Arabidopsis thaliana: one gene and its partners. The protein of the gene in region 1 interacts with the protein of each later gene in a pairwise test. Each region holds a gene or a part of one and is shown in the gene's direction. Other genes may lie near its edges. The genes, in order: AT4G38690, AT1G60410, AT5G15500 and AT4G32600.

Region 1 (7,131 bases):
GCTTGGAGGTGGTTTCCGGAGCTATGGTGGTGGTCGTTATGGAGATGAGTCGTCCAGCTCGAGGTGGGGTTCGTCTAGGGTTTCGGAGGATGGGGAAAGGAGAGGCGGTGGATTCAACCGGGATAGGGAACCTAGCAGGGATTCGGGTCCGTCGCGTGCGGATGAGGATGATAACTGGGCCGCCGCCAAGAAACCAATTAGCGGAAACGGATTCGAGAGAAGAGAGAGAGGCAGCGGCGGAGGATTCTTCGAATCTCAGTCTCAGTCCAAGGCTGATGAAGTCGATAGCTGGGTCTCCACTAAGCCATCGGAGCCCCGGAGATTCGTTTCTAGCAACGGCGGCGGCGGTGACAGATTTGAGAAAAGGGGAAGTTTTGAATCCTTGTCTAGAAACCGGGATTCTCAATACGGTGGTGGTGGTGGTTCTGAATCGGATACCTGGGGAAGAAGAAGAGAAGAAAGCGGTGCTGCTAATGGCTCGCCACCACCGAGCGGTGGTTCACGCCCAAGATTGGTGTTACAGCCACGTACACTTCCCGTGGCCGTTGTGGAGGTCGTGAAGCCGGAGAGTCCGGTCTTGGTCATTGTGGAGAAACCTAAAGGTGCTAATCCTTTTGGGAACGCAAGACCTAGAGAGGAAGTTCTGGCTGAGAAAGGCCAGGATTGGAAAGAGATTGACGAGAAGCTCGAGGCTGAAAAGCTTAAGGACATTGCTGCAGCCATGGAGAAGCCTAATGAGAAATCTACAGGGAAGATGGGCTTTGGTCTTGGCAATGGCCGTAAAGACGAGGAACGTATTGAAAGAAGTTGGAGGAAAAGGTATATATCTTCTTTGACTATAATAAAACTTGGTTGATTCGTTTCTTTAGTTTGCCTGCTTGTTTTCTGATTATACCATCTTAGTCGGGCAAAGTATTGATCTCTTACTGTCTGTGGAAATTATTGACATGGGTCTAAGAAATTGTGTATATTGTGGGAGATAGGGATTCATATATATGCTATAAACAGTGAGATTTTGGATGATCATTCATGTGTTATGGATCACTGCATTAGTATAGTAGTTAATATGTTAAATTTGGTGTTATTAGTTTTTCTCTACATTCATACATGGAAGTTGATGTCTTGAAGTGAAGCTGAAAGATTGGATCTCTCTTTCTGTTTTGTTTTTTTGATCTGGCATCCCATGTTTAGAGAGCTCTGTTTTTCTCTTTCTGCGTGATGGTAATGGGTTTTTTAGTTAGTGTTGTTGAGTATTGTGGGAAGTTGTAAATTTTGTAAGCATGTTTCTTACTCTTAAATTATTTTGTCTTTGAACATTGAAGCACGGAGCATTCTGAGGAGGATGCTCAAGAGGAGGAACCAGCTGTAGAAGGGGCAAAGAAGGAAGAGACTGAGGACAAACCGGCTGTAGAAGAGGCTAAGAAGGAAGAAACTGAGGGTGAACAGGCTGTAGAAGAGGCTAAGAAGGAAGAGACTGGTGGCGAACCGGCTGTAGAAGAGGCAAAGAAGGAAGAGACGGAGGACAAAATCTAAAGAGTCAAAAGGCATTTTTGTGGATTGTGATAGTTTGGGTTCTTGAAGTTTAGCTTCTGAGAATTTGTGTTGTTTAATTTGGATAAGTTAAGTTGTGTGGGGGAACTCTAGAGAAAATTTTGGTAGGGTCTTTTTTTTTATAATATCTCTCTGTCTCTTTTTTTTACCACATACTCTGTTGCAATTTTTAGGGTTTTGGGGTGTCTTTTATTTTTTACGAGTTGTACAATTTCATTATTGGTTTAAATCTGTCTTTGAATTTGGGAGCGTTTAGTTGATCAGTGATCAATGGTGCGTAGAGAGAGTGATGTTTGTTATTAAGAGCCCAATTGGCCCAACTTAACCCGACCCAGTATCAGATCTGGCCCGTATTCTATAATCTTCTTGATCGGTGCAGTCCACTTAAGATATATGTGGTGAGGAATAAATCCAACCTGTACAAACACACAGAATGTAGTGGGACGGGGAATATGATAATACCACGCGCTTTAGAGCTGGGAATATATTAAAATTGATCAAAAATAGGCATTTTGGCTGGACTATATAGCTTACCCATTTTGATAACACGCGCTCAACGCTCCTAAGGTGCGCGTGGTACATATCCTTACCTCGAATAAAGTTTATGCTAGTTATTTGGCAGAATCTCAAAGCTTTTTAGAATCATAATTTTCTAAAATAATTAAATCTCTTTACATGTTTTCAAAGTTGTCAAACACTATTACAATTTTGAACATATCATCAATATCAGACAGAAAATTTTCAAAGTTAATACCTGGATCATATGCATTTACTATTTTCTTTTTGTTATATAGAAAAATATCAAATAGATTTTCTAAATAATGACATATACCCTCTTTTTATAGGAGAAAATCTTTTTCCTGTAAACATTCCTAAAATTACAAGTGATCAAACTATATATATATATATATGTTCTAGATTCATTTGGATAGTAAACTTTCATATCAATTCCTTAAGTTTATAAATTATGAAGAGCACATTAATAATATTTTTCACACTCTGTTTGAGCATGGCCGTTATGGCGCGTCACGAATCCTACTATGGCAACACCAAACCGGCTAAACTGAATGAGGAGAAAGTGACACGTGTCAGATTTTATCTCCATGATACTCTCAGTGGCCAAAATCCTACCGCCGTTAGAATCGCACATGCAAATCTAACCGGTGGCTCAGCTTCGCCGGTAGGTTTTGGAAGCCTGTTTGTGATAGACGATCCGCTCACCGTCGGGCCGGAGAAACACTCGAAAGAGATCGGGAATGGTCAAGGGATGTATGTCTCCGGGTGCAAAGACTTGAGCAAATTCACGATCGTCATGTACGCTGATTTGGCTTTCACGGCAGGGAAGTTTAATGGAAGCTCGATCAGTATCTTCTCGAGGAATCCGGTGGCGGAAGAGGTCGGAGAGCGAGAAATCGCGATTGTTGGTGGCCGTGGGAAATTCAGAATGGCGAGAGGTTTTGTCAAAGTAAAAACAAATAAGATTGACATGAAGACTGGTGATGCTGTTCTCCGATATGATGCTACTGTTTATCATTATTAACCGATTCATATGTTCCGATTAAAACAATAAAAAGGCCAACTAAATCAATTATTCAGATCAAAACTGAATTTTGCATGATCAAGAGATCAAAATTGATTAATTATGTTGCAATCTTTCTTCTCAATTCCCAAAATCTATACTAGTAATCTCTTTTACATATCTTAGTTGTGTGGATCGTGATATTTGAGATAGTCTTACAAAAGACATGATAGGGCCTGTGAGTGTATATGATTGGTTTTCCATCGGATCCTATCCGAATTTTATCCAAAATATTAATTATCGATGCCTTGTTTAAATTTTAGGAACGACTTTTATTTCATAGAAAATTTGAATATGTGTCTTCCAAGAAATAAAAATCACGTTGTATTGATATCTTTCACGTCGGAAAATAGCCAGGCATTAGAAATTGACAAATAACAAACAGTGAAGACAGCTATACAACAAAAATGGACCTACCATACATTGTAAACCCACTCTCCCATCAATTACAACTCAACCACTCTTTCAATATATCTCAACTAATCAATCAGTTCACATTTATAACACTAAAATGTTCCCACAATAAAAATTGTAACAGTTAATCTTACATATTAAACGCTACTACTTTTTTTCTATGGTTTTTGTTAAGTTAAAAGTTGAAAGTTACTTCTAATTTGCGAATATGTCAACGGTGTTTTGAGAAAGTAGCGTAATTATTAAAAGATTAACGTATAATTCGTAACTTCTTCAAACCAATAATAAGTAAATAAAAAACAATCATAACGACTTATGAGTAAAGGTTTATTGATAAAGAAGGCATGGAACATTTTATAAACAAGAGAGAACAGAATTCAATATAGTGATCAGAGAAGAGAGAGCAAAGGGAAAGGGTTAATCCTCAGCAATGGGCTCTCACCTTTCCAAACAACTCGAGCGGCGAAAAGCCATCTCCACGGAGAAGAAAGCCCTCACCGATCTCGAGAAATCGTGCGGCTGCGAGTTTCCGGGGTGTGATTACATGCCTTCCGATCGTAAAAACTGGATGGCCGGCGTTGGACCTGAAAAGCTTCACATCAACAAGATCGTCTGGCCTGGGACGCACGACTCTGCCACCAACAAAATCGGTATCCGATTCGTGTCTCGTCCCTTTGCTAAGTGCCAATCTCTCTCCATCTATAACCAGCTCGTGGCGGGTACTCGAGTCCTTGACATTCGTGTCCAAGAAGATCGCCGTGTATGCCACGGTATCCTCAAGACTTATAGTGTCGACGTTGTCTTGGCCGATCTCAAACGGTTTCTATCCGAAACAGAGTCGGAGATTGTCATTCTTGAGATCAGAACAGAGTTTGGACACGAAGACCCACCGGAGTTTGATAAGTATCTTGTGGAACAGCTTGGAGAGCATCTGATTCACCAGGACGATCACGTGTTCTCCAAGACAGTCGCTGAGCTGCTTCCCAAGAGAGTGATCTGCGTTTGGAAACCGAGGAAATCGCCTCAGCCTAAGCATGGTGATCCTCTTTGGAGCGCTGGTTACCTTAAAGACAATTGGATCGATACAGATCTTCCATCGACCAAATTCGAGAGCAACATCAAGCATTTGAGCCAGCAGCAACCAGCTACTTCAAGGAAATTCTTTTACCGGGTGGAGAACACAGTGACGCCGCAGCCCGATAACCCAATAATGTGTGTAAAACCGGTGACTAAGAGGATACATTGCTACGCCAAGGTATTCATCATAGAGTGTGTAAAAAGAGGATGTGCTGATAAACTGCAGATATTCTCAACTGATTTCATAGATAATGAATTTGTTGATGCTTGCGTTGGGCTCACCTTTGCGAGAGCTGAAGGTAAGGCCTGAGGAATGAGCGTGTGGAGACAGACTTTGTGTATCTATTTTGAAGGAAAAGAATCAGAACATGGTTGATGTGTTTTAGGGTTGCTTGTGTATAAGAGAACATGTGAGTGTGTATTTGTATGTGTGTGTGATTTACGAGTGTATATTCCAATTCATTACAACTTATTTGAATCCTGATACAATTGCGAGATATCCAAACTCTTCATTACTATTAATTTCTGATACTTTTGCAGATGTTGTAGTTGATAGACAGGCAAAACAGAAGGAAGAAGTATACAGTTGATGGTAAAATCTAGTTTTAACAAGTGAAAGAGAGCTGCTAACCTGAGAGATGACTATATTTCTGCAGCAATGCCCCTTTTTATTACACACTACTGTGATCTTCAAGAACAAAAAGATAATAGAATCAGTTATGCTAGAATTCATATCAGTAGCTAATGACACAATGCATCTCTATAATTTCATTATTTGATTATATCTATAAACTGAGATGATGGAAACATGGTGCAAAATCCTAATAATTTGAGATTAGATTTCTTCTCAAGACTTGAAACACAAAAGAAGAAGAAGAAGAGCATTTGATCCACAAGAGTGATTGAGCCGAGCCAAATTATTCTCCCTGCTGAGATCGGCAGCGAGACCACTCTTCTAGACTCTAGACATGGGATGCAGAGAAACCAACTTTTTTTATTTAAACGGCTGCGTTTTAAGTCATGTTCTCAAATGATACCAGTTTTTTTTTTTTTTTTTTTTTTGCTAAGCACAAGTTTGATTTGTTGTTTGGCACTTTACGATAACATCATTTTACTCCTATACTTTCTCACGGTAAGTGATTAAGATAAAAACATGCACATTTTTCGAATTATAAGCTAAATTTAAAGGGATCTATTTTCTATCTCTCAATAATTTTTAAATTTTACTCATTTTCTATTTCTCTTATAAATTAATTACTTGGTAATTTAGTTTTGTAATCGATACTCAAAAATCGATATCCAACAAAGGACAATCTCTTTGCGGTCAATAGTCTTCTCAAATTACTTCATACAATTATCATACTGTTTGGTAAAATTTGTGAATCTGCCTCATAAAATGTACGTGGAAAGTGGAACAACAGTTAATGCTTATTTTGACCACAAGATTGAGAAAATTTTGAAAAGAGTATATTGACCAGTTGCTGACGTTGCATGTCATTCTTTAATGTTGTTGTTGACTGCAACAAAAAATAAAATACAACATACAAAGTAAAAAAATAAAAATAAATTAATTGATCTTTGTTTCTCTATTCCCCAGAGAGCTAGCTTTTCAGATCTAAAATCAGAATCTGACGGCTGATATCCCTCGTGAAAAACACCCCAACCGTCCAGATGCAACTGCTTGCTGGGCCAATGATCCATTCTCTTTCCCGAAATGGATTAATCAATTTAAGCCTTATCACATGCTGGCCCATTTTCTAACTCCTCTTTTCTTTTTTAACTTACTTTTCTTTCTTTTAATATTTTAGTTGCAGATTCATTTTCGAAATCAACGAAATTTATGTTTTTTTAATTTTCTGGGTATCTTAATCGCGAGATTTTTTATTTTAATATCACGCTCGAATATACAATTCGGAATGTGCAGATGTTTTTTTTGAAGGCAATTTAGAAAAATAGACAAAAATCGAACAAACATATATAGAAATAGAGATCTAAATAAAAACATTTATTTTATTTCCTCTTGGAAACAAGGAAAAAATGAATTGGGGTGGGTGACGTGGCAGTCATACCCTTGCCACACCCTTCCTATACGCATATAAACAGCAGCTGCGAGGAGAGAGAGATTTCAGAGTATTTTCTAGGGTTTCGTTTTTTTTAAAGATTTAGAGAAAAAAGTGAGTTATTAAGAGATTCCAATCAAAATGAGCGGAGACAACGGCGGTGGTGAGAGGCGCAAAGGCTCCGTCAAGTGGTTTGATACCCAGAAGGGTTTCGGCTTCATCACTCCTGACGACGGTGGCGACGATCTCTTCGTTCACCAGTCCTCCATCAGATCTGAGGGTTTCCGTAGCCTCGCTGCCGAAGAAGCCGTAGAGTTCGAGGTTGAGATCGACAACAACAACCGTCCCAAGGCCATCGATGTTTCTGGACCCGACGGCGCTCCCGTCCAAGGAAACAGCGGTGGTGGTTCATCTGGCGGACGCGGCGGTTTCGGTGGAGGAAGAGGAGGT
Region 2 (7,511 bases), on another chromosome or scaffold:
AAATTTTCTCACCGGGATATCCAAAGTCCGTGAAATGACCATCTCAAGTCGAACGTTAGAGGTACATTTAAATGTTTTATTCCATAGCATATATGTTTATACAGTTTCTTGAATACATTCTTTCTTTCTTGCTACATATATACACAGGTCATCCGTGGCTATCACTCCATGGTGAAAGCATTACCTCAATTTTCCAACTTGTCTAGCTTGGATGCTTTGTTAGTCGAATCATATTGGGAACTCTTACCAGTCTTTCTTGGTTGTTGCATCAATCTAAATTCACTCGTCGTGGTGAGTTTAATTTCATTTGCATATGCTCATGTAATTACATTGGGATTTATATCCCAAGAAAATATTACAATTTTTTTTGTTTTGTTATATCAATAGGAACTTGATGGCCTTTCCGAGATAGAGGAGTTTAAAGTTTCACCACTGCTTCAAGATTCCCTATCTGCTCGTGGGTTTGTTCAGCAGAAGACACCAGTTTCAGTCACAAAGACATCAAGTGAAAGGAAAATAGCAGCATATTTTGTGAAGAAAAGTGGCTAAAAGTGAGCAATAACATATTATTATCTGGGGTTCAACCCGTTATCTACCAATAATCCATTTTATGTAAGACTTTATAATTTTTTGGTGGACATGACTTTATGGTTCCTGGTTATATGGATATTTGTAAGGTAAATTTCCGTTTTTGGTTGACAAGACTTTATGGTTCCTAGGTATACAGTTATTTTTTGAAATCGTAGTCGTAATACTCTTTCTTGGTTCCCTTGTTCCATCTACGGTAAACTCTGCAACCCTAGCTCTCTATGCCTAGTGAACCCTTTTCCTTGCTCAATACTCTTTCCTGTCTAATTGAGTCTAGCCTTCTTTTTCTGACTTGATTAAAATCACACGACTTAAGTTTATGCGAACTCTTTATTTTTTATAAAGTTAAGTTAACAACCCTGGTGATTTTAGAATTGGTGAGGAAGATATGATTAGCAAATTACAAGATTCTTTTTTATGTGATATATATGTACTTATGATTCCCAAAAAAGGATGTGCTTACGACCAGCTTTTTGCCACATATGGATAAATCTTTGGCAATATATATGGCTCGATTGGATTTTGAGTTTAATGGCCTTTCATAGATTATGCTAAAATTGGAGTATTTTCAATAGGTTTGATCACTGACTTAACTGGGTGCTTTACAAAGAGTTATGGTAAGGCATACTGTTTATCAAAAAAAATAAAATTGTAAGGCATACAACTTCATACAAGATATGAAGATATCATATCGAGGTAGAAACAGGATCGCGAGTACTATACAAAGAATTATTAGAGAATTCAACAGATATATGTTCAAGATAATACAAAGTACGATAGTGTTAAAAATACCTTCAAGTCTTCAACCATTTATACATCATGCGACAGATTATTATTATACAATTCCTTAGAAGTATAATTAAAACAAAATAAATAGTTGTATTTTAGTGAAACTAGCCATATTGAATTTTGATCCGTTAATTACAGTTCTATAACAATACGAAAATTAAATAATTGTCAATAATTACAAAAATGATCAAGATCAATGGATTACAAGGATTCAATGGGAGGACAAAGCCACTAAAGTTACTGTTTTATATTTAGCTGTGCTGCAATCATATGTCGATGAAACTTTAACTTTCATTACTAAAAATTTTCATCTTTACTGGGTTTCCACACTAAATTTGTTTCTTCTTTGCTTGTCTATTCCCTCAAACTAAATCATCATGGTTTGGGTGGGTCAAAGATTGCAACGGCTCTTCTCTGTCTATGCTTAACCCTTAATTAGTGTACGCTTTGATGTCCTTTGAGATGGTTCTTACTTCTTAGCTATTTTGCTTGTATACAGTTGTTGAAGCTGGTAGAAAAAAACGAAAGAAAGAGATCTCTATTGGCACTTCTTGGCGGGAAAATAACAAATGCAAACATGGAAATTTGGGTTTGCCTGATCTAGAAATACAAAACGAAGATGTTTTTGTTTGTTTGTTTTTTTTCGGAACTTTAAACAGGAAAAAATTGTATAGATCATGAATCTTACAATGGTATATATAATAGAATATTTTGTTTCATGAAGCGATATGTGTTTTGTTCCTCGATTATCATGTCTTGCTATGGTTCTTATCTATACACTAATGAATGTTTCTTCTCTACTAAGTAGTAATTAAGTGCTATACGGGAGGGTCGTTTCGATTATTCGATATATAGTTATTTCTTTTTTCTTAGATACTTATTTTGATTTCTATGATGCAAATAGTAGTATAAATATGCATTAATGCAATTATCTTCGCTTTCTTCCTTTCTAAGACGAATTGCTTAGCTTCTCGTTATTGTCTTTGAGTTGTTTCTCTCTCTCTCTCTCTATTTTGCAGCAACGTGAGGCTGTGTCTTTCCATGAGCAAGTGGTGAATCAATTTTCTCAGAGGTTATGTGTTTGGAGAAGTTATATTCACAACATCTCCAAAAATATGTATTTAAGACCATTTCAGGGATATCAAATTGGTCAAAATTTAGAAAATTGAAACTTCAAGAAACTACATTTTAATATATATACTTTCTCTTTAACCACGTAACCATTTCCTATTCCCATTATTCTTATAAAAATCGTTCCACATTTCTGTATGTCCGTTAATGATTTTATGCAATCTAAAAAAAACTATACTATTTTATATTGTGAGTTGTTGTTTTATTCAATTACCAATAATGTACTATTTAGTTGTTTTTAAAAAATGGCTAAATATGTTAGGCACAAAATTAAAGATACCTTCTACTATCATATTTGCCAAACACATATTTCCTTTCCTTATCCTCTTTAAACCATTACTCAAACACACCTTATTTTGTTCTTATATATTTTGAATATCCAAATTTAGTTTTTTTCAAATATCTCTATTGATTATTACCATATATGATTTGTTGAAATTTATGTACATTTAATGCTTTGATTTTTTTAAATGCACTTTACATTTCTATATAAAACATTACATATATATATATATACATATATTAAAATGTAGTCATTTGAAATATTATACATAAAATTATTTATAAGATTGGAAAGCATAAAATTAAATATTATAAATGATCATTCATAAAATTAAATAGCATAAGATTTACCTAGACTAGCAGGCAATTTTACCTAGTTTTGGTTAAAACTTACAATGTATCTCTCTTTCATAAAAAGTGTAATTTTGACACATTTCACACATTAAAAATGAGTTAAACATACAAATATACCCTTATTTAATATACCCCTAATTATACCATAATGATTTAAATAGAAAATTTCTTTTAGCTTTAGACAAGAGGAAAATCTGAAAACTAGTTAAAATGTAAACGATATTATTTTGTGAATTGTGAAACGGATAGAATTGAACAAGAGTTGAGAAAAAAAAACGGATACAATTTGAGCTTTTATTCTTGAAAGACAAAGAGTTAACAAAAAAAAAATCAATCATGAGTATTTCAAGTATTCTTTTATATTAACAGTAAATTAAATACATATCATTATTTCGATTGACAATAAAGTTCATTAAATGTAATTAAAAAAAAATCACAACGTTTCGTTTTGTGGTCAATAAAATATTGAAGAAATTTGAAAGGGCGCTCACGACACGTTTCGTATAGCCTCTTTTTATTTTTCAACTTATTATAAAAACTGTCAAAGAGGAAGAAAATCTAGCGAGAAGATCTCTGGTCGTCAAATTGAAGGTTCTTCTTCTTCCTCTCTATCTCTACTAGGTAATCTCTAACCTAATCTCTGAACTCTCTTTCATACTTTGGATTATGTTTGATTAATTAATAATAAATTAATAGTGTAGCTTTGTCCGAAATATAGGGTTTCCGGGAGAAGTCATGGCTAGAACCGAAGTCTCAGGGAAAGATAGGTTAAGCGATTTACCGTGTCATTTGCTATGTCGCATCCTCTCTAATCTCTCTACCAAGGAATCGGTTCGTACTAGCGTTTTGTCCCCTCGTTGGAGTAATCTCTGGTCGCTTGTTTCTGTTTTGGATTTGGATTTCCAAGATTTTAAAGGTGAACACGACATGGGAGAATTCATAGATAGCTTTATGGAATATCACGAAGAGTTAGGCTTGAAGTTGAAGAGCTTCAATATGTTTTATGATGCTAATGAGCACTTGCATGAGCCATTTGTGAGGAGGCTAAATAAAGTGGTTAGGCGTGGAGTTTGTGATCTGAATATTCAGAATATGGTGGATGTTGATGTAGCATTAGTTAGGATGCCTCCCTCGCTTTATTCATGTGCTACTTTAGTGAATTTGATTCTCTACTGTGTTGTCTTTGATCATCCAAGATCAAAATCGGTTTCTTTACCTAGTGTGAAGAAAATGTATTTTGAGGGGGTCAAGTTTGATGGTGATTCTGTTCTGGAGACTCTCATATCGCATAGTCCGGTTCTTGAGGAGTTAACCGTGATTCCGCATCCGGAGGATTATTTGGAAGTCATATGTGTTCGTTCTCAATCACTGGAGAGCTTTAGACTTGAGTCTAAGCGTTTTGAGTGTGACAATCCCAAAGTTGAAATCGATTCTCCAAGCCTTGAGTTTATGAGTATCTGTGATAAGAAACCTGAAAGCCTTAAAATACATAGAATTGGTCCTTTTGCGGAGGTAACCGTTGATGTTGAGTTTGATGTTGAGGATGATGATCCATTGGAGATATCTAAGATACGTAAGTTTCTCGTCGGGTTATCCACATTTCACGAACTGACCATCTCTGCTCGAACTCTAGAGGTACACATATGATTGGTGGATTAAATATAACATTAAGCTTGTACAATTTTGTATATGGTGTTGACTTACTTTTTTTTTGGCTATACACAGTCCATCCATGACTACTCCAAGGTGGGACCATTGCCTCCATTCTCTAACTTGTTTGGCTTGGATGCTTCGTTAGTCGAATCTTCTTGGGAAGTTTTACCAGCCTTTCTTAGTTGCTGCATGAATCTAGATTCGCTCGTCATAGTGAGTTTCATTTATTTGTCTATATTTCACGTAGTTACATTGAGATTCATATCCCAAGAAAACTTATCAAAAGTTTTATGTTACTAGGAACTTGACTGTGTTCCAGAGATGGAGGAGATTAAACTCTCACCAGTGCCTCAATGTGTCTTATCCTCTCTCGACTTTCTTCAGTTGAAGGCACCATCGACACCAAGTAAAATGAAACTTGCGACATATTTTAGGAAGAAGTGTACACGCTTGACGAAAATGCTTTTAAGTGGGCAGTAACATCATCAAGAAAATGAAAAGGATTCCAAAGATATGCTGAAAGGTGTCAAGTTGTTATGTGTATAATGTCGTCTCTCCTAAATCAAGTTTACCTATCAACAGTTAATTATCAAATAATCTATTGTAAGACTTTTTAGATTTTCTTGTTAGACATGGCTTTATGTTTTCTAGTTTTTTTTTATGGATGTTCTTTAGTAAATTTCTATCTCTTAAAACAAAATTGAAATTCTATGTTGCAACTATATGTAGGATTGATTATAAATTTTTATATTCTTTCATTGATTCTTACTCGTAAACTATATTGCAATGAGTAAACTTAAAAGTGAAGTATCTTGGACTTCATCCATGTTGTTACGGGTTGGATTCAACGTCAAAGTTTCGTTGAAAGTTTGTTGCTATAGTTTTCTATATATATATCACATGCATTGTAATTAGGTTGCTATAGTGTACAATACATGTAAAATATACAAAACTATAGCAACAAAGTTTTAGATACTTAATTGCTTCCTTTAATCTCAAACCATTTGGTTGAATCTATCAAGTACACAGGACATATGCTCATTCAAATTGGGTAACTAAGAGCACCCCCAACGCTGGACTCTATGAAAATCCCTTAAAAACATACAAATAATAATATTTTAATCTTATTAGGGCTTCTGTATAATTTGACCAATAATAAAAACACATGTATATAATTTTCTCGAGACTGTCCCTTAAATAAAGAATTTTAGGGCCTCTCTCTCTTCTTACACTTACCTTTTAATTATTTTTCATTCTTTTTATCATTAGAAATTTTGTTAAGGGACCACCGTTGGTGGTCCTCTAATCACGCATGGAGTCTAGACGAAATAAGAAACGCATTAATAAGACATATATTATTTTTTGGTGAAAGTATAATGTAGACAAAAAAAAAAGATAAAGCTTTTGTTTTCTTAGACATAACCCAAAGAACATACCATATATATAGCAGAATTAGATTAAAAACAGTCAGATCAGAAAACAAAACAATCTGAATAGCTAATTGCACAAAAAGCTAGGGTTTTGTTAAGGATTTTCCGAGTTTAATACCGGGAACTGATCCTCGTGAATTGTCGAGATAGCGCTTAATGTTTTGTAAATATTTAATATTAACCCCAAATATTCGATTTTGACCAATTTATACCCCATCGAGATATTTCTACTGCTGACTTTTTAGTGTTTTGTATTTGACCTCGTTTGATGGACGAACCGGAATATAATTGTGTTGGTTGGTCAACCATTTGTTTTTAGCATTTTCTGGTCTTTAATTAATCGCTAAGTAATCTAATTCTGGATTAAGAAGAAAAAAAAACTTCAAAAGAGACGCTTTTATACAACGCTTTGAGCATTACTTGGCCCTCTCAAAAGAATACACAGACCAGTCTTCGTGTGCTCGTAATTGGCGATTCTCAAATTCGATCTCCGTACAAACAATGGCCGAAACCTCGAAGCAAGTCAACGGCGACGATGCCCAGGATCTTCACTCGCTTCTTTCTTCTCCGGCGAGGGATTTCCTCGTTCGTAATGACGGCGAACAGGTAAAATAGTTTTTGACGTGATTTTGAGTTTATGGTCTTCGATCGCAACTTCTTCTGATCTTCGATAACGATCCTGTGATTGTCTCGCGATTCTTTGAACCGACTCTTCTGGTTTACAGAATATAGATAGCTTCGTGTAGTTGATTGATTTGCTATAGATGACTTTAATCGATTGCTTTCAAGTGTTAAGATTCATTCAGTGCTTGGTCCTTTATTGATTTGGCTTGTGTCTATTTCACATGGCTTATGTTGTTTGGGTAGAGTTTAATTTTTTATGCATTTTTATGATGTTTAGGTGAAAGTTGACAGCTTGTTAGGGAAGAAGATTGGATTGTATTTTTCAGCTGCTTGGTGTGGACCGTGTCAGCGGTTTACTCCACAGCTGGTGGAAGTCTACAACGAGCTCTCTTCGAAAGTTGGTTTTGAGATTGTGTTTGTGTCAGGTGATGAGGATGAAGAGTCATTTGGAGATTATTTCAGAAAGATGCCCTGGCTCGCTGTTCCGTTTACTGATTCGGAAACCCGTGACCGTTTGGATGAGTTGTTTAAGGTTAGGGGAATACCTAACCTAGTGATGGTTGATGATCATGGTAAACTTGTGAATGAGAATGGTGTTGGGGTCATACGAAGCTATGGAGCTGATGCTTATCCTTTCACACCAGAGAAAATGAAGGAGAT
Region 3 (7,600 bases), on another chromosome or scaffold:
GGGTTAGGCGGGTCGATTCGGGTTCAGTGTGTCCGAAAAAAACCCTAATTGAAAATTGATTGCTCAGATATATATAGACTTTGTGACTGAAAATTGAAAGCTCTTGGCTTAACTTAACGGAGTGATTCGTGAAATGGCGACTGGTAAAACCGTGAAAGATGTTTCTCCTCACGATTTCGTGAAGGCTTACGCTTCTCACCTCAAGCGATCTGGAAAGGTTAGTGTTTTGATGCTTCTCTCTCAAGTTTGATTGATTCAGCTGAGAATCGAAAGACGTCACAAAAGGATCTGATAATGAGTTTTAGAGGAAACAATTGAGAGTTTGAGGGAGCTTCTGATATTGTAGTTCAATGTGTTGGTGTGATTTTGAGGCATTGAATACTATAAAACGACTGAGGAAGAGAGAAATAGAGATAGAAATGATAGATTCTTGATGTTAGTGATCATAGGCAGCTAATTGGAAATTCACTGTAATAATAGTTGTCTCTTTTGTCTGATTTAGATTGAGCTTCCTCTATGGACAGACATTGTGAAGACTGGTCGTTTGAAGGAGCTTGCTCCATATGACCCTGATTGGTACTACATTAGAGCTGGTAAAAAAAAGCTTAGCTTTCTCTTCGCTTGTTTTTGTTTTTATAGAGTCGTTATGAACGTTGTTGATATCTTGTATGGTGCAGCTTCTATGGCCAGAAAGATTTACTTGAGAGGAGGTCTTGGTGTTGGTGCTTTCAGAAGAATTTATGGAGGTAGCAAAAGAAATGGAAGTCGACCACCACATTTCTGTAAGAGCAGTGGTGGTATTGCTCGCCATATTCTCCAACAGTTGGAGACAATGAGCATTGTCGAGCTTGACACTAAAGGGTAATTCTTATTTCTTTCTAAAGGCACTTTTCGTAGGAAGACCTTGTTAGTGACTTACTTTCATCTCTCCTCCTTTGTTCATTCTTTGTCTCAGAGGGAGAAGAATCACTTCGAGCGGTCAACGGGATTTGGATCAGGTTGCTGGGCGTATTGCAGCTGAATCATGAAGAGCTGTTGTTCTCCTTATGCTTGCTTTGGAGGAGCCTCAAGAATGTTATAGATCTTTTTAGCTTTTGTGATTTTAGATCTCTACTCTCTTCTGCTCTGTTCATTTTGACGAACTAATTTGATATTTGATGAAGCTATTAAAGTTTTGTTCTTTACAGTGATTTTGTATCCCAAGTTTACTCTTCTTCATAGAAATCTCAAGAAACAATTTACTCTTCTCTATGAAAACTCTTCTGGTATGTCAGTCATATACAAATTTAAATTGGAAGATGATTTAAAACTCACATATGTTTCTTGACCAGAACTAAACCAATGTACACCGGATTCTGCAAACAAATGTATGAGAGGTGGAACACGGATTGAATCATAAGATAAGTCAGTTAAATCCAAATTCAAACTGGAGGATAAGTATTATATCTTTCTGAACCAGATCAAACCAGATTTTGCAAACAATATGGAATCTTTCTCATTTTCTTGGGTGAAGACCAGATTATTATTACAAAGGTGAAACAAGAATGATTGTCAAATCTATGAAACTGCAACTAATTGGTTACAGAAAGGTAATGTAGTTTTGAAAATGAGAATATGAACAAGGATGATATAGTAGTAAATCCAAAAGAAGCTTTCTAGAGAAACTGATATTGGAAATCGCTCATGCAGGAGCCAGTTTCACTCCAAGAAGATGAACTGCAGCATCTGATCTTCTTGTGTTGCGGTATGTGAAACTTGGGATCTCGTGGTGCAGTTGGATGTTTGCTCGACCTTTTAATGGTAAAAGAAAACAACAAGAAGCAACTGTGTCAGCTTTTGCAATGACGTTCATTGTTATAAGAAAGTTTACTCTATTAGTTGGTCTGTGAAAACTATATTGAAAACATATTTCTCACTTGAAAACAATATCTATATTACCTATCATGCTCTCATAATAAGAAAGATTCAAGAGGATAGTATTTATGTACCAGTCTTTTACCTTCTTGGAATGAATGGTCGATCAAAGTATGGCATTGGTTGTGCTTTTGGGACCAATTCTTTCCTCAGCCTTCTTATCTCTTCTTCCTCTGCCAACTAAAAACAATATTGGATTTATCAAAATCAGTTAAAGCAAAACTCTATTATCGGATATGGCCACAACATCTCATATTAAAGTTTACCTTCTGTTGTCTTTCTCTTTCCATTTTGTATTGCTCAATGAAGCTCATCTTCTCGGCAACCTAGAACAACAAAAATTCAGACTTTAACATGAAGAAATTTATGGAACAATGCAAAGTTACTATAGACAAGTCAACCTTGGCTACAGACTACAATACACACTATTTGACACTATCAGCTATTTTCCTTTCCGTCTCAAGTCTTAACACAACCAGCTGATAAGAAAACAAGTATACTCTAAATGATTTGACAGAATGAAATGGTTACTGAAGCCAAATCATGTCAGCGGCTATGTTTTAAGGTATCTTGAACTTCAAGCCCAACAAAATGTAGATTTAATCATTGCATTAGCAAGGTTACCTGGTAATCAAATTCTGCGCGTTCAACTGCCCGGACATCTGAGTGGAGCGTCAAGTCGACTGGTCTTGTAATGTCTTTCCAATGAGGCTTCACTAGGCACTGAAACAGAAAACAACATTAGAACTTTTCATAGTCAACAAGACATCATCTCTCACTATTGTTACTACTAGAGCTTACAAGATCAATTGAGATGTTAATAGGAAAGCAGAACATGCTTACCTCAGGTTCATCGGTTGTCCATGGAAGACCTTGAGCAATGGGGATTCTCATCTTTTCTTCCTCCATTGTTATTTCGTGTATCTTTTTTGCTAACTCTTCCTCTTTCACTTTACCTCTTTGCTGCAGAGAGACAAAAGACCAACCAACTGTCATGACTCAATTTCCACCATAAAATTCGAAATTTTTCTTTAGTTTTAATCTAAAGAAACTCATACCTCAGTTCTAAGCTTAAACGGCTTCAATGAAGTGACCTTAACCTGCTTCTTCTTTGATCTTCTACTTCCCATTGTAGTCGATGACTCCATGCTCTGCCATAAACAGAAATATCAAAATGATTATTAAACTATACTGACATACTAAGCAAGACAGACAACCATTAAACAGCTAAGAAAATTCAGATGCTGCATGCAGGACACTTACATTTCTTCTACTTCTCCTGCCAGCATTTGAACTTCCACTCAAAACACTGAAACATCACAATATCAAACTATTCAGAACAAGACAAGTTCATAATTTCAGTGAGATCTCTTAGTCAACAACAAACTAACCTGCCACGGGTGCTGTCCCAGGACGAAGAAATCGAAGCATTGGGGTCTAAACCCAGATTCTTAGCTGTTAAGACCATTTCAGATGGACAAAACGAAGAACTCCATGGGTTTTTCTCTTTCTCACCCTCCAAGAATTCCAATTTCACAGGTTTCTTCGTATCCTCTTCGGTTTGATTCTCTTCTATCTTGTTGGCAGTCTTTGAATTACTAAAGCAAGTGAGTTTCTCAAATGCTTCTACAAGATTCATCACTTTACCAGATACAGGCACACTTTGCCGTGCTTCTTCCACCACCTTAGCTCTTGATCTCTTCATTGTGGAAACGCCTGTTTTCTCCGGTTCTCCAGATTCTTTTCCTTCTAGTTCATCGCCATTTCCGAGATTACAGCATTCCTCCAAAGCTTCCTTATCCTCCTCTGATTCAATTCGATTTTTGAAGAACTCCTCTTGCGAAGCACGCAGAGTTTCATATGCAACACAAACACACTTCATGTTCCCCTTCTTCCTCTCTCCGCATTTACAATCTATCTCAGCTGCCTTGGATTCTGTAATCGCTGGCTCCTTCTTCCCTTTCCTCGAATTCTTCTTCGCCACCACAACAAACTTCCTCTCTCTGATCCGATTCCGGGGAGAGAAAACCGCCTGGGTAGGTTTAGGGCTCGGACTCGGATTCTTCTGCGCTGATTTCTTCGCAGATTTCATGAGCGGTGATTTAGAAGGACTCGCTTGTGAAATGTTAGGGTTTGCATTCTCCGATGATCTGGAAATCTTTTGATTGGACTGAAACTTGCTCCGATCCTTCACCGGAGTCCCTGCTTTCCCATTCTTCAATGTCAACGACTCCATCGAAGATAACAGAATCTGGAATCAAGAGAGTAACACGAACAGTAATCGATCTAGATTTGAGAATCTCTCCAACAAAAAAAAAATTGATCGGAGGTGAAGAATTAGGGTTTGTTCTTGCTATGGAGTATTGTAAATCGAATAAGAAGATAGATTTGGGGGAAAAATGTGACCGTTGCGGCGCTCTTTGGACGCTCTCTAATAACGGCTAGTCTTTTTGGTGCTTTTTTAATAAATAAACTTAGATTAGTAATAAATAATTATTTTCCTAATCTTGTCCGTTAGATTGTCAAATTAATGATTATGATGATTTTAATCCACGTTTAATGCCACGTCACATCCGAATTTCAACACTTTAGCAGCGAGTTATTTTGTACAATCTTAGCCATTAGATCAAATAGATGCTGGAGCCGATATGATCCACGTTGTACTCCATGTCACATCAAATTTTCAGACAATAATTCTTATTTATCTAATATCAACCGTTGGATTAAATGATCAGATACTGACGTGTCCACGTATACTGCCACGTCACCTATAATTTCCCACTCTTTTCCTTTTTTTGGGAACTTCCTTCATTCACAAACGAGTTATCATTTCGTAGCCAATTAAGTTTCATCATCATATTTAATCACCAAAAATATAATTCGCATCGTCGTTCTGTTCTCTTGAGTCACTAATGGACCAAAGATCATTAGAAGCTGCTGCTAAATCTGGAAACATCGATCTACTATACGAACTAATCCATGAAGATCCATACGTTCTTGATAAAACCGACCACGTGCCCTTCGTTAATACTCCTCTCCATGTGGCAGCCGTCAATGGAAAAACAGAGTTTGCCATGGAAATGATGAACTTGAAACCATCTTTTGCTCGGAAACTTAACGCCGACGGACTTACACCGTTACACCTCGCCGTGGAACACGGTCACTTCTGGTTAGTACTTGAAGTAGTTAAGGTTGATCCAAGTCTTGTTCGTATTAAAGGGAGACATGGTACGTACACTCACTTATTTTGTTGAACCCTTAATTATGTTTCTTAGTTTTTTCCAAAAGCTTTAGCTCTAATCAATCCGAACTAATGTTATAATATGTATCTAGTAAATTCAAATCTTGGAGATAGTATTGAAGTAGGACGAACAGTCCATTGAATACTAGTTTGAATTCAGTCTATTGTTGCTTTTGACTAGTCATTATGTCGATATTGTATGGTCAGATCATGAACTAGATTGGTTATACCAGGAGTGTTTAATTCATTTTTCTTGTCCAAAAAAGGTATGACGCCATTGCTAGTTGCGGTAAGTAGAAAGAAGATTGATCTGATGTCAGAATTCTTCTTGGGTTGTCCCGAAAGCATTGTGGACGCAAATGTGAACGGAGAAAACGCTCTTCACATCGCCGTGAATAACTACGACCAAAGAGAAGGATTAAGCGTTCTTAAAGTTCTCATGGGATGGATCTTAAGATTGTGTCAAAAAGATGCAGAGTGGATCGAGACAAGAGTCATAAACCGAAGAGACAAAGACGGTAACACGCCTTTACATCTCGCGGCGTACGAGATCAATCGTCAAGCTATGAAATTGTTGTTAGAGAGCTCCAAGATTAACGTCAACATTGAGAACAAGAACGGTTTAACCGTGTTCGACATTGCTGTGTTACACAATAACAGAGAGATAGAGAGAATGGTTAAGAGACATGGTGGAAAACGTTCGGTTTCTCTTGTCAAGATTAAGACAACATCGGATATACTCGCGTCGCAGCTTTCTTGGAGAGAATCGAGACGGACGAAGAAGATTCGGTTTTATTCTTGGATCTCTGAAGAGAGAAGAAACGCTCTTTTAGTGGTCGCAACTCTCATCGTCACAGCTACATATCAGACGGTTCTCCAACCTCCCGGAGGCGTGTCTGATGGCGGTGGTCAAAAGAGTGGAACAAGCGGTCCGAAAGCGGGTTCAGTGGTTATGGACGAGGTCTACTTTATCTGGTTATGGTTGTGGAACAGTGCGGGGTTCTGCTTTGCGATTGAGATGATGATACGTTTGTTGAGTTTAGGACAAGAGAGTATGTTTTGGTATTACCCTCTGTTCGTTCCTATGGTCTTGGCTTACTCTGTTGCAGGGGATGTGATCAAGCCGAACGCAAGAGCGTACACGATCGCAGGTGTGGGTGCGATCGTGGTTCTTATAATTTGGGGATTGGTAGTTTGGTTTTGGGAATGGGTGCAGTCTAAGAGAACCAAGCAACGTGGACCCAAGAGTGGATTGGTTTGGGAAGGTTTCACTACGTTGGATCAAGCTAGAGGTGTTGCGCCTAATCGGTATGTGATTAGGTAATCTTAATTTCCTCTTGTTATTTTATTGTTGCTTTTGTATTTTTATTCTATAATGTGTAAAATCTCTACTCGGGGTAAACCTATTTACATGAAATATCTGTTTATTATTTGCTTCTAATATTTACTCTACGTGATATGATGTGCATAAAAAGACTACATGATTGACAAGAGTATACGTTGCTAGAAAGTGGAAGGTGTCGTATGACGCATTCTAATTCGAATGTAAATTAGTAAAATAATTACTGAATCTACAAAAATCATGATTTTGAGGTTTTATGGTCACAGTTAAAGTAACATGGCAAACTTGTATACGAATCAAAAAAATATTGAACCATGTTATATTTGAATTCTTTTTCAATATATTTGGTTTCGATTTATATTTTTCTAAAACTATATATAGCTTTAATATTAAAATTTCAACCGCACTCTTCTTTTTATTAGTTATTTATATAATTATGCAAATATAGCTTGAGAAGCACTTCAAAAAGTGTGACTGAGTTTTTAAGCAAAGTGCAGTTAGTCTTTTGTCTGAAGTTTGTCCTGCAGACCTCACCACACAATCACTTAAGTACTCATATATACAAAATGGTTTTATAATAATAGATTAACATGTACATTATTGAAACTAAACACCAAACTTTGGGAAGTATATTATTACTATGAATGGACATTGACGCACAGAAAAGGATTCAAACCAATAATGTATATTCCTTGTTAATATTTCTCAAATTAAATAATATATTTTGCTGGTAAGAAATATGTCTATATATATATATAATATTGTTTAGTAGGTGAACAAATAATATATACATAGCTATTTTTGTTTTGAAGCATCAATTACCTCAAGAGAAAATTTAATAAGTGGAAAAAGTCAGAAAAATATGAATCCATAATATAAGTGATTAAGTGTAAAGGTTGGGGAAAAAACGCTAAAGAGATACAAATTGTCCAAAAAAACAATTAAAAAGGTACTTCCTTTTTTTATATTGTGGAGATTGGTAAGTCAGTTATATTTTCTTCAATGAAAGTAAACAATAGACAGGCAATAAATGAATTTATTTAGTTTCCAATATAAAATTTGAATATGTTTTAATATACAAAATAGTAACAATCCATAAAAGA
Region 4 (8,350 bases), 2.4 Mb from region 1:
CGGGTAGCGACGGGTCATATCCGGTAGATAAAGCAAAGGCTGTGAGTGGAGATAAGCTTCTCAGAAGCATTATGCAGGATAACAAAATTGAACTCTACGCTGCTTACGTGAGTTATGTTGATTTCTCTCTCTTTAATTACGAAATTTAACTTCAGATTTTCTCAATCTTAATACATTGATTGATTTGATGTTTGAACTAGTTTCTGGAATAATTTAGTAGACAATGAAAATATTTAGTTCTAGATTTTGATGTGAGGAGATGGTTTGTTGAAGGCTTATGTAAACTTTGGATTTTGGTCAATTTGTGATGATTAGGGGAAAGTGATGAACTGTGGTGGTGGAGGAAGCTGTGGAACTTGCATTGTGGAGGCAAGTGACTTCATACAATGTTAATTAGATTCTGATTATGAATTTATGAGCTATGATTGTTCTAGCATTCATGGATATCAATGGAGGAAAATAGATTTGTGTTTGGTCTTCTTATGATGACCAGTAACTCAAAGCAAAAAAATACACATTTGGTCTTCTTGTGTGCAGATACTCGATGGCAGAGATCTTCTGAATGAGAGAACAGATACAGAAAACCGGTACCTGAAAAAGGCTAGTTATTTGATCACTCCTCTCTATATTATTGTTAGATTCACAAGTTTCTCATTGCTAGTGTTTGGAATGGGTATGTGCACTAACAAGATGAATGAAATGTTGAGCATTGTTTCTGGTTAAATGTGAATATATGTTTTGTTGTCTGATATGGTTACTAAGTAACTTTTCTTAGATATGCAAATTTTGGATAAAATAAGAGCCTTGGCTGTTTAAATCTTAAGGGTTTTGTTACTATTGTGCAGAAGCCGGAATCTTGGAGACTCGCATGTCAAACAATAGTAGGGAACAAAGAAAACTCAGGAAAGGTACCTACTTTCATACACCAATTTATGCATATGCAAATTGCAAACGCTAATGTGCCCATTATTTGGGATCATAAGAGTTTATTTTTCCTTTTTATGATCTTTCTCATTGAGAAAAGTCGGCTTTGGATATAGGTTGTCGTGCAGCGGATTCCACAGTGGAAGAAGTGAATTAATGTAAAGGTTATTTGTCTCAGATTTATGTGTATATAACACATCTCTGTATGAATGTTGTCTCGTATTAATGGAAGATTCGTTTGTCTAGACGTATTTTTCTTTAGTTCTTGGATATGTGGTGCCATGATAGTGAAATTTAAGAGAGAAACTATCAACTAGCTCGCATGATTGAAATGTTTAAAATTTGCTTAAAGATACGGTAGGAGTGAAGCTGGTCAGAAGATTCGGTAGGAAGTGTTTTTATGATGATCTGAAAATCAGTAGCATGTTTTACCTTTTTGAGCTGAAAATGGCATTTGTTTCTTAAGCTTTGAAAACGTGTTTCTAAAAAATAAGAACTTGGTTTAGTATTCGAACCGTTTCTTTGACAACTTTCAGATCACTTTATTTATCGAATGTCACCGAAGAGACAACTTTCAGAACATCTAATTAGATTACGCGCCGCCCCGTAAAACAGGGGTAAAGTCAAAAAGCAATATCTTCTCATTTTTACTTTTTACTTTTTTCTTGTTGAGGGAAAATATAAAGAGGAAGGAGCCAAAGAAAGCATCACTATCTGAATTTTTCTTTGTACATTTATTTATATATAATACTAGTTTTTGTGTGATTGCTGTTTGGCTCCGAATTTTATATCCATAATTTTTTTTTTTTAATCTCCCCTTGGTTGATCGGTGAACACAAAAAAAAAAATCTAAAATAATCGCAAAATACATTTGAAGAAGCTACACGATCAACAACAGCAAAGGATTTCGATTGTTGAAAAAGTTGACTCTTCTTAATTTGATTCGTTGTCTTGGTTTCTGGGTTTTCTTCTTCTTCTTCTGCGGCGCTCTCCAATTTTACACCTTGCGACCAGCGAGAAAAGAAACAAATTTCACCCCCATTGAAGAAGGTTTGTTTCCCCTAATTGCTTGATTTTATTCTGAGATTAATCCCAGGCGCCAATTATATGCTTCTGTTCTTCTGATAAATCTTTGCCCTTTTACGATTTTTCTTTGATTTTACCCTAGTTTTATGGTATAATCTGGGTGAGTTTCTTTCCTTTAATTCATGTATGATTAAGCTTGGATTGGTCGATTCTGATGAGTCAAAATCTTGAAACAGACATAAATTGATGATTTTTCGTGGTTGTTTTAGGTCATTTGAGGGTTTAAGCTTTCTTTGTGGATTTGCAGGACCTTTGGTTAAGCTCCATGGTGTGGTATGCGCAAAGTGGACAATACCTAGATGGGTGTTTCTCTTCTGAAACAACAACATCGTATTACAAATCAAGCTGATACTTTTTCTAGATTCATGGAAAGATCACCAGAGAATAATCTAAGCAGAAATGAGCACATCATCATTGACATTCCAAGAAATGCCGCCATTGCATCATCATCATCTTCTCATGATAGAATCTCAAATGTTTTGGAACCTTTACAACATGAGGAAGAGAGACCTTCTACTGTTTCTCCCATGGCTGCTCCTCAGCCAGCTACAGCTACAGCTTCTTCTTCTTCTTCTATGCGATCAAATCCTAGAAGTGTCCGTCGTAGAAGAAGTCCTTTGAATTCTGGCTTATGGATTTCTATTGAACTATTCCTCACTGTTGGTCAGATCATTGCAGCTATTGTCGTTTTGTCTTTGTCAAAACATGAGCATCCTCGTGCTCCTTTGTTCACTTGGATTGTTGGTTATGCGTGTGGATGCGTTGCTACACTCCCGCTTTTGTACTGGAGATATTATCATTCGAATCAGGCTTCTGAACAGGATTCTGGTCAGCACCGTCCTAATCTTAATGTTGCAGCAGGACCATTCGCCTTCTCGATATCCAGGACATCCGAAGCAGATGGTCGACAGACCAATACCACCTCTTCTCGTGGTAGTAGATATCCTGGGTTTATAAGTGCTGCCAGGTAAACACACATGTTCTTAGATGATCTGTTTCAACTGAAAGTTTGGATTTTGAATTACGTTTTCTCTCAAAGCTTTTCTTATTTTTGAGAATTGAGAGTTTAGATGTCTCTTTTGTTCTAAACTTTTTCTTTGTGTTGAAAATATCTGCAATCTAATTGAGTCAGTATGATTTTGGTCGTTGATTTTGGCTTCCAGACTTAAAGTTATCGTGGAATACTTCAAAATGGCTCTGGATTGCTTCTTTGCGGTGTGGTTTGTGGTAGGTAATGTATGGATATTTGGAGGGCATTCATCTGCTGCCGAGGCTCCTAACTTGTACAGGTGATATTCTTTTAGATATACAGCAATTAGACTCAAACATCAGACTGCATTTTCCAAGACTGACCCATATTTTTGTTCTCTTGTATGTTCTAGGTTATGTTTAGTGTTTCTTACCTTTAGCTGTATTGGCTACGCGATGCCCTTCATCCTCTGTACAACAATATGTTGCTGCTTGCCTTGCATAATCTCAATTCTCGGATATAGAGAAGATTTAACGCAACCTCGAGGTGCCACACCTGAGTCGATTAATGCGTTGCCGACTCATAAATTTAAGTTGAAGAAAAGCAGAAGTAATGGCGATGACAATGGTTCAAGTACTAGCGAAGGTGGAGTTGTGGCGGCTGGAACAGATAACGAACGAGCTATTTCAGGAGAGGACGCAGTGAGTTTCCTTACACTTTGAATTTACACATAAACACACAGATACAATCAAGTTGCTGAATATAAAAATATTTGCAGGTCTGTTGCATTTGCTTAGCGAAATATGCGAATAACGAGGAGTTAAGAGAGCTTCCATGCTCACATTTCTTCCACAAAGAGTGCGTTGACAAATGGCTGAAGATCAATGCCTCTTGCCCTCTATGCAAGAGCGAAGTTGGGGAGAAGAACTCTGATTTGACTAGCCAAGGGATCTTAACCTCGCTCTCTTCTGGGGAAAACGATAACCATCAACAACAGCAACAACAACAACGGAGTGAACTTAGAGTTGAGAATGGTTTGGCCAATAATGTTATCTAGATCTTCGAGATTTGCTCTATGTCCGAGAAAACGGCAAATTAGCCGTTTGGCGATGTTCCTACACAAAATGGGGTTTGCTTCTCATTGCTAAGAAGGTGAAGAAAGACACGGCGAAGATCCTGTTCTGTAAATGCTTTTTGCCGTTGTGAATTGGAACCTCTTGAGTGTAGAAGAGTTCGAGAATCGGTGATTGAGTTTGAGCGTGTTCCAAATACTTGTTTTTATTTATTCTCTGAATTTGTCACGAGTACCACCTCTATACGAGAGCCAGGGATCTTTCGAGACCTTGTGCAGCTAAAGTGCCTCATTCATGGTCTCTCTGCGAAAAATTAGAATAAACCAAATAAAATATTTATACCTTTATACTGGACCACAAAACTTTTAATGGCTTCAACGATTTTGTTATCTTAGTTTTTGAATTACTAGACACTGACTCGTTGGCTCGGTAAAATTAGTGTGAGAACCGGTAACTTACAAGAAGCATAAAGATCATAATAGTTTTGCCTTTAGTAGAGAGAGCTCACACAGTCGAATAGAGAACTTTTTCTTAACATTAATCTCGGATGCATATGTTTTGAAATGGTTTGAAAATAAAAGTGATTCAGTTCCTGAAACATTTAAAAGCGGTATAGTGCCATACTAAAAAAATTAACCGCAGAAACCGATCCAGAGACCGAAAAGACACGTCCTTCTAGGCGGTGTTTTCTGCAGATGGGTTTTCATGAACAAACGTGCCAACTGATTTGAACCATCGCAGTAGGTTACGGTGATCCTTTACATAGAGCCATGCCTGAAGAAAGGGGAAGAGACTCTCGTTCACACCTCGTTCCTCTAGGAATCCATGGAATACATCTCTCATCTTCTCATCGAGCTCTCTGTCAAAACAAATAGAAACACTTACTTGCCAATCGAGTGAATTTTCTATCAATTGTAAGTTACGCATTATCTTTAGAACAGAGAAAACAGAATGCTGAATAGGATGCACAAACTCTCTTCTTTAAAACTGAGAAATGCAATGAGAGAAGAATGTAAGGAACATGACAAGAGACAAATCCTTGATTCAAAGGCTTCATAATAGAAACAAACCGATTGTGTGTCAATAGTGAGACTGCACTACAAATATGTCACATGAGGAAGAGCAGTAACTGAAACTGAAAAATCGAAATGTCTAGAACACATCTACCACCATTCTATTCTACATTCACATTCCTCAATAACTGGTACAAAAGAGATAAGCTGTTTCTTAAAATCATCCTTGAGAGAGTCAGAGATTATTTAAGAATGACGATATACTTAGTTGGCCTATTCTTAGTTTGAGAGCTCTGAGTGTAGCAAGACGAGACAGCTCAAAACAGAAATGAATCACCTATAAGGTCTCAACCATCAACTGAATAACTAGAAAGGCAAGCATATATTGAGTAAGTCTCTAAACTCACTAAAAAGAAGTTAAAAAGAGAGAAACTCACTCAAAAGAAGGGCCTGTGTATTGAGTAGGATCATCAGACATCTCCAAAGCCTCAAGTTTTGGCCTCATGGAAACAGAATGAATACCCAATGCATCAGGGTAAAGGCCACAAAGGAAATGCAAAGAATCAGGCTGATTTGGCTTTGATACAGCAACATGAAGGAACAACTGGTTGATCCCACCATCGTCTTCTTCATCACCTCCGTGAGCCAAGCGCATAACGAAAAGATTGATCTCTTCATTTCCAACAGATTTCTTCAGAACAGCACCAGTACTTCCTTCAAGCGACCCTTTCACAATCTCAAATGGTGACGGAGGACTCACTTTCTGCAAAATCAATCAAAAATCTGTAAATCCCACCATAAACCCTAAGTGGAGGAAGCAGCAGCTAAGCTAGGGTTTAAGTAACAGTACTGAAATTTCAGTTGTACCTAAGACGAGACATAGAGAGAAAACACAGAAAGAGAGAGAGAAGAGGAGGAACGAACCGGAGGAGGAGTCATCTTAGAAACCTCTAAGTAATGTTCCTTGAGGGAACGCAGAAGCATCGAATCCACTGCAGCTGAAACGTTGGCGCTCTTTCCACTTCCACCGGCTTTACTAGATAGCGCTCGCTGTAATTGATGCCGGACGGCGACATTTCCGATCACTCTTCTCCACATTTCTACTTCTCCGTCGTCGAGAGTAGCAAGCAACACGACGAATTGTCTTAAGAGAGTAAAATAAATACTGTACCAACTTTTCTTTTTCGTCGAATAAACCGCAAGAGAAATATACCTATTTAGGTTTGTCAAAAATATGATCTAATTCGTTTGATAAACATATAATTAAAATAATCAATTGATTTTGTCGATTCAGACTCATAGATTAACTTTATTAAGCGCTGGCTTAGCCACAACTAATAATATGTAAGATCAAGAAGTAGAAATTGTTGTGGGAGATAAAACAAATCCAAGTATAACCATGATGAGCAAAGAATGTATGTAAAAGGAAAAATTCAAACAGAGTTTCTTCTTGTCATGTTCCATTGTGATAGGATTAAAAGATCCAAAGTTATCATAACTCTAAAACACGACCCAACCACATTCCCCATCAAAAGATTTGTTCAAGGCAAGTAAGTCTCATATGAACAAAACCTATGTTCATATCACAACGGTGGGTGGATTGATTTCTTCACCTCACAGGTTGCTGATTGTAGTTTTTCTTTTCTTTTTTCTTCGCTGCGGCCAACTTTGCCTTCCTCGCAGCTGCTTCCTTTGCAGCAGCTGTTGAAGCACCATCAACCTCCTTGCTTGATTTCTTCTTCTTCATTGATGCAATCTTCTTTAGCCGTTCTTTGACGTCGATGGAAGAAGAAGACTCCTCCTGCTCAGCGGACTCACTTGCAGCATCCGAGTTGCTCTTCACTTCACTCTGGGATTCTTTTAGCTCCTTCTGTTTGTCCTTCTTTTTCTTCTTCTTTGAGGCCTTTGATTCTCCGGTTGTGTTCTCCTTCTTCTCTCCCTCATCATTCACTTCTTTCTTCTCCCCCTTATCTGTTCATATTTGCAGAAGAAACGTCTATCAGTATTAGCCATAACATGGTTTTCTCAGCCAGTGATACCTCAGCGTAGAAAGGTATCCACAGATAAATATCACCAACGAGTGAATAGAGTAGAGTAGAATTGTTACCAACGAGTGAATATAGTAAAGTGAAATTGTGCTATACCTTGAGAGTCTTGTTGACCATTCTCATCTTTGGTTGCAACTCCAAAATCTGCTAGCAAAGCCTCAAGCTCAGCAAGTTCCTTCTTTTTCCTCTCTTTCTTGGAAAGTTGCCTCTCTGCCTCCTTAGGAGGAGCACGAACTTCAGGAGCCTTTTTCACCTCAGGCTCTGCTTCTGGATGAACTTGTGTCTCTGTTCCCTGCTCGTGATCTTCCTCCACATCATCATCATCTCCATCATCAAGAGTGTCTTCTTCGCTTTCAATTTCCTGCGACATTGAAATCAAATGCATCTCTATGAGAAACAAATGAACAGATAGGCACACAACCACGGTTTAGAGAAACCATTGCACAACAAACTTACATTGCCTAGAAAAATTTCGATAACAATGCAATTAGATATATGAACCTTCAGGAGACAAAGCAGCTTACTTCACAATAACATTAATTTCCCTTTCAGAATTCAGACAACACAAGCCTAAGCCTAAGCGAGATAACAACAGTAGAAAAAAAGGCCAACTCATTCAATTCGTGGAAGCATTTGAAATCTAAAGAGGCTTATTGCAAGAGACATATTAAACCAGTGTTACAATTTTCAACATGTGAAATGCATAAAGCTATGATGATGAACCCAAAATCAACATATATATGAAAGATTTGGACTTGTGACCTCAGCGGGAACGTCTTTAGCATCTGAATGGGAGGCTTCAGAAGTGCTCCACAGGGACTGAGGTGGAGCAGTGGTAGCGTAATAATCATCATCTTCATCATCGCTATCGATATCAGCCCAAGCCTTTGCTTTGAGAGGCGTAGGTGCCCAGAAAACCTGTGGCTCAGGCTCCTTCTGTGAATCTTCTCTCTTAGAGGAAGCTTTGCTCTTACCAGCCTTATCAGACTTCTTCTTCTTCCTCGAAGTATCCAAAGCAGCAAACAAGTTGGTGTTCTGAATCGGCATCGATCCCTCATCTCTCCTGTTTCCACCACCAACCATCTTTTTTCTTTCCTCGATCACCACACAATAAGTCACAGAGTGTTTTCTGATAAAAACCCAGAAACGAAGTTTCACAATTTCAGCTGGAAGATGAATCTCGAGTAAGTTAAGGTAATGAAGGATGGGAAAGGAAAAGCTGATGAATTGTCGCTA

What was found.
Region 2: the proteins of AT4G38690 (region 1) and AT1G60410 interact in a protein complementation assay, tested with the Arabidopsis thaliana proteins (one large-scale study listed by BioGRID).
Region 3: the proteins of AT4G38690 (region 1) and AT5G15500 interact in a protein complementation assay, tested with the Arabidopsis thaliana proteins (one large-scale study listed by BioGRID).
Region 4: the proteins of AT4G38690 (region 1) and AT4G32600 interact in a protein complementation assay, tested with the Arabidopsis thaliana proteins (one large-scale study listed by BioGRID).

What each region holds. Positions count from the first base shown.
Region 1 is NC_003075.7:18,072,543-18,079,673, reverse strand, and holds AT4G38690 (PLC-like phosphodiesterases superfamily protein), read left to right. Parts: upstream 1-3,716; 5' UTR 3,717-3,974; coding exon 3,975-4,931; 3' UTR 4,932-5,354; downstream 5,355-7,131. Other genes in the region: AT4G38710 (glycine-rich protein), read left to right, coding at 1-819, 1,089-1,127, 1,323-1,533; AT4G38700 (Disease resistance-responsive (dirigent-like protein) family protein), read left to right, coding at 2,519-3,091; GRP2 (glycine rich protein 2), read left to right, coding at 6,823-7,131.
Region 2 is NC_003070.9:22,255,250-22,262,760, forward strand, and holds AT1G60410 (F-box family protein), read left to right. Parts: upstream 1-3,689; 5' UTR 3,690-3,765; intron 3,766-3,862; 5' UTR 3,863-3,879; coding exon 3,880-4,779; intron 4,780-4,869; coding exon 4,870-5,010; intron 5,011-5,097; coding exon 5,098-5,277; 3' UTR 5,278-5,538; downstream 5,539-7,511. Other genes in the region: AT1G60400 (F-box/RNI-like superfamily protein), read left to right, coding at 1-61, 148-291, 388-549; AT1G60420 (DC1 domain-containing protein), read left to right, coding at 6,729-6,833, 7,129-7,511.
Region 3 is NC_003076.8:5,030,670-5,038,269, reverse strand, and holds AT5G15500 (Ankyrin repeat family protein), read left to right. Parts: upstream 1-4,729; 5' UTR 4,730-4,826; coding exon 4,827-5,142; exon of another isoform or gene 5,143-5,421; coding exon 5,422-6,479; 3' UTR 6,480-6,622; downstream 6,623-7,600. Other genes in the region: AT5G15520 (Ribosomal protein S19e family protein), read left to right, coding at 134-217, 503-593, 678-861, 956-1,028; AT5G15510 (TPX2 (targeting protein for Xklp2) protein family), read right to left, coding at 1,682-1,883, 2,000-2,094, 2,181-2,240, 2,539-2,637, 2,758-2,877, 2,973-3,065, 3,178-3,223, 3,306-4,150.
Region 4 is NC_003075.7:15,721,701-15,730,050, forward strand, and holds AT4G32600 (C3H4 type zinc finger protein), read left to right. Parts: upstream 1-1,644; 5' UTR 1,645-1,974; exon of another isoform or gene 1,975-2,110; intron 2,111-2,219; exon of another isoform or gene 2,220-2,257; 5' UTR 2,258-2,309; coding exon 2,310-2,977; intron 2,978-3,173; coding exon 3,174-3,299; intron 3,300-3,392; coding exon 3,393-3,681; intron 3,682-3,758; coding exon 3,759-4,037; 3' UTR 4,038-4,441; downstream 4,442-8,350. Other genes in the region: AT4G32590 (2Fe-2S ferredoxin-like superfamily protein), read left to right, coding at 1-107, 316-369, 538-600, 846-908, 1,025-1,081; AT4G32605 (Mitochondrial glycoprotein family protein), read right to left, coding at 4,729-4,912, 5,504-5,829, 5,991-6,164; AT4G32610 (copper ion binding protein), read right to left, coding at 6,676-7,037, 7,211-7,475, 7,877-8,197.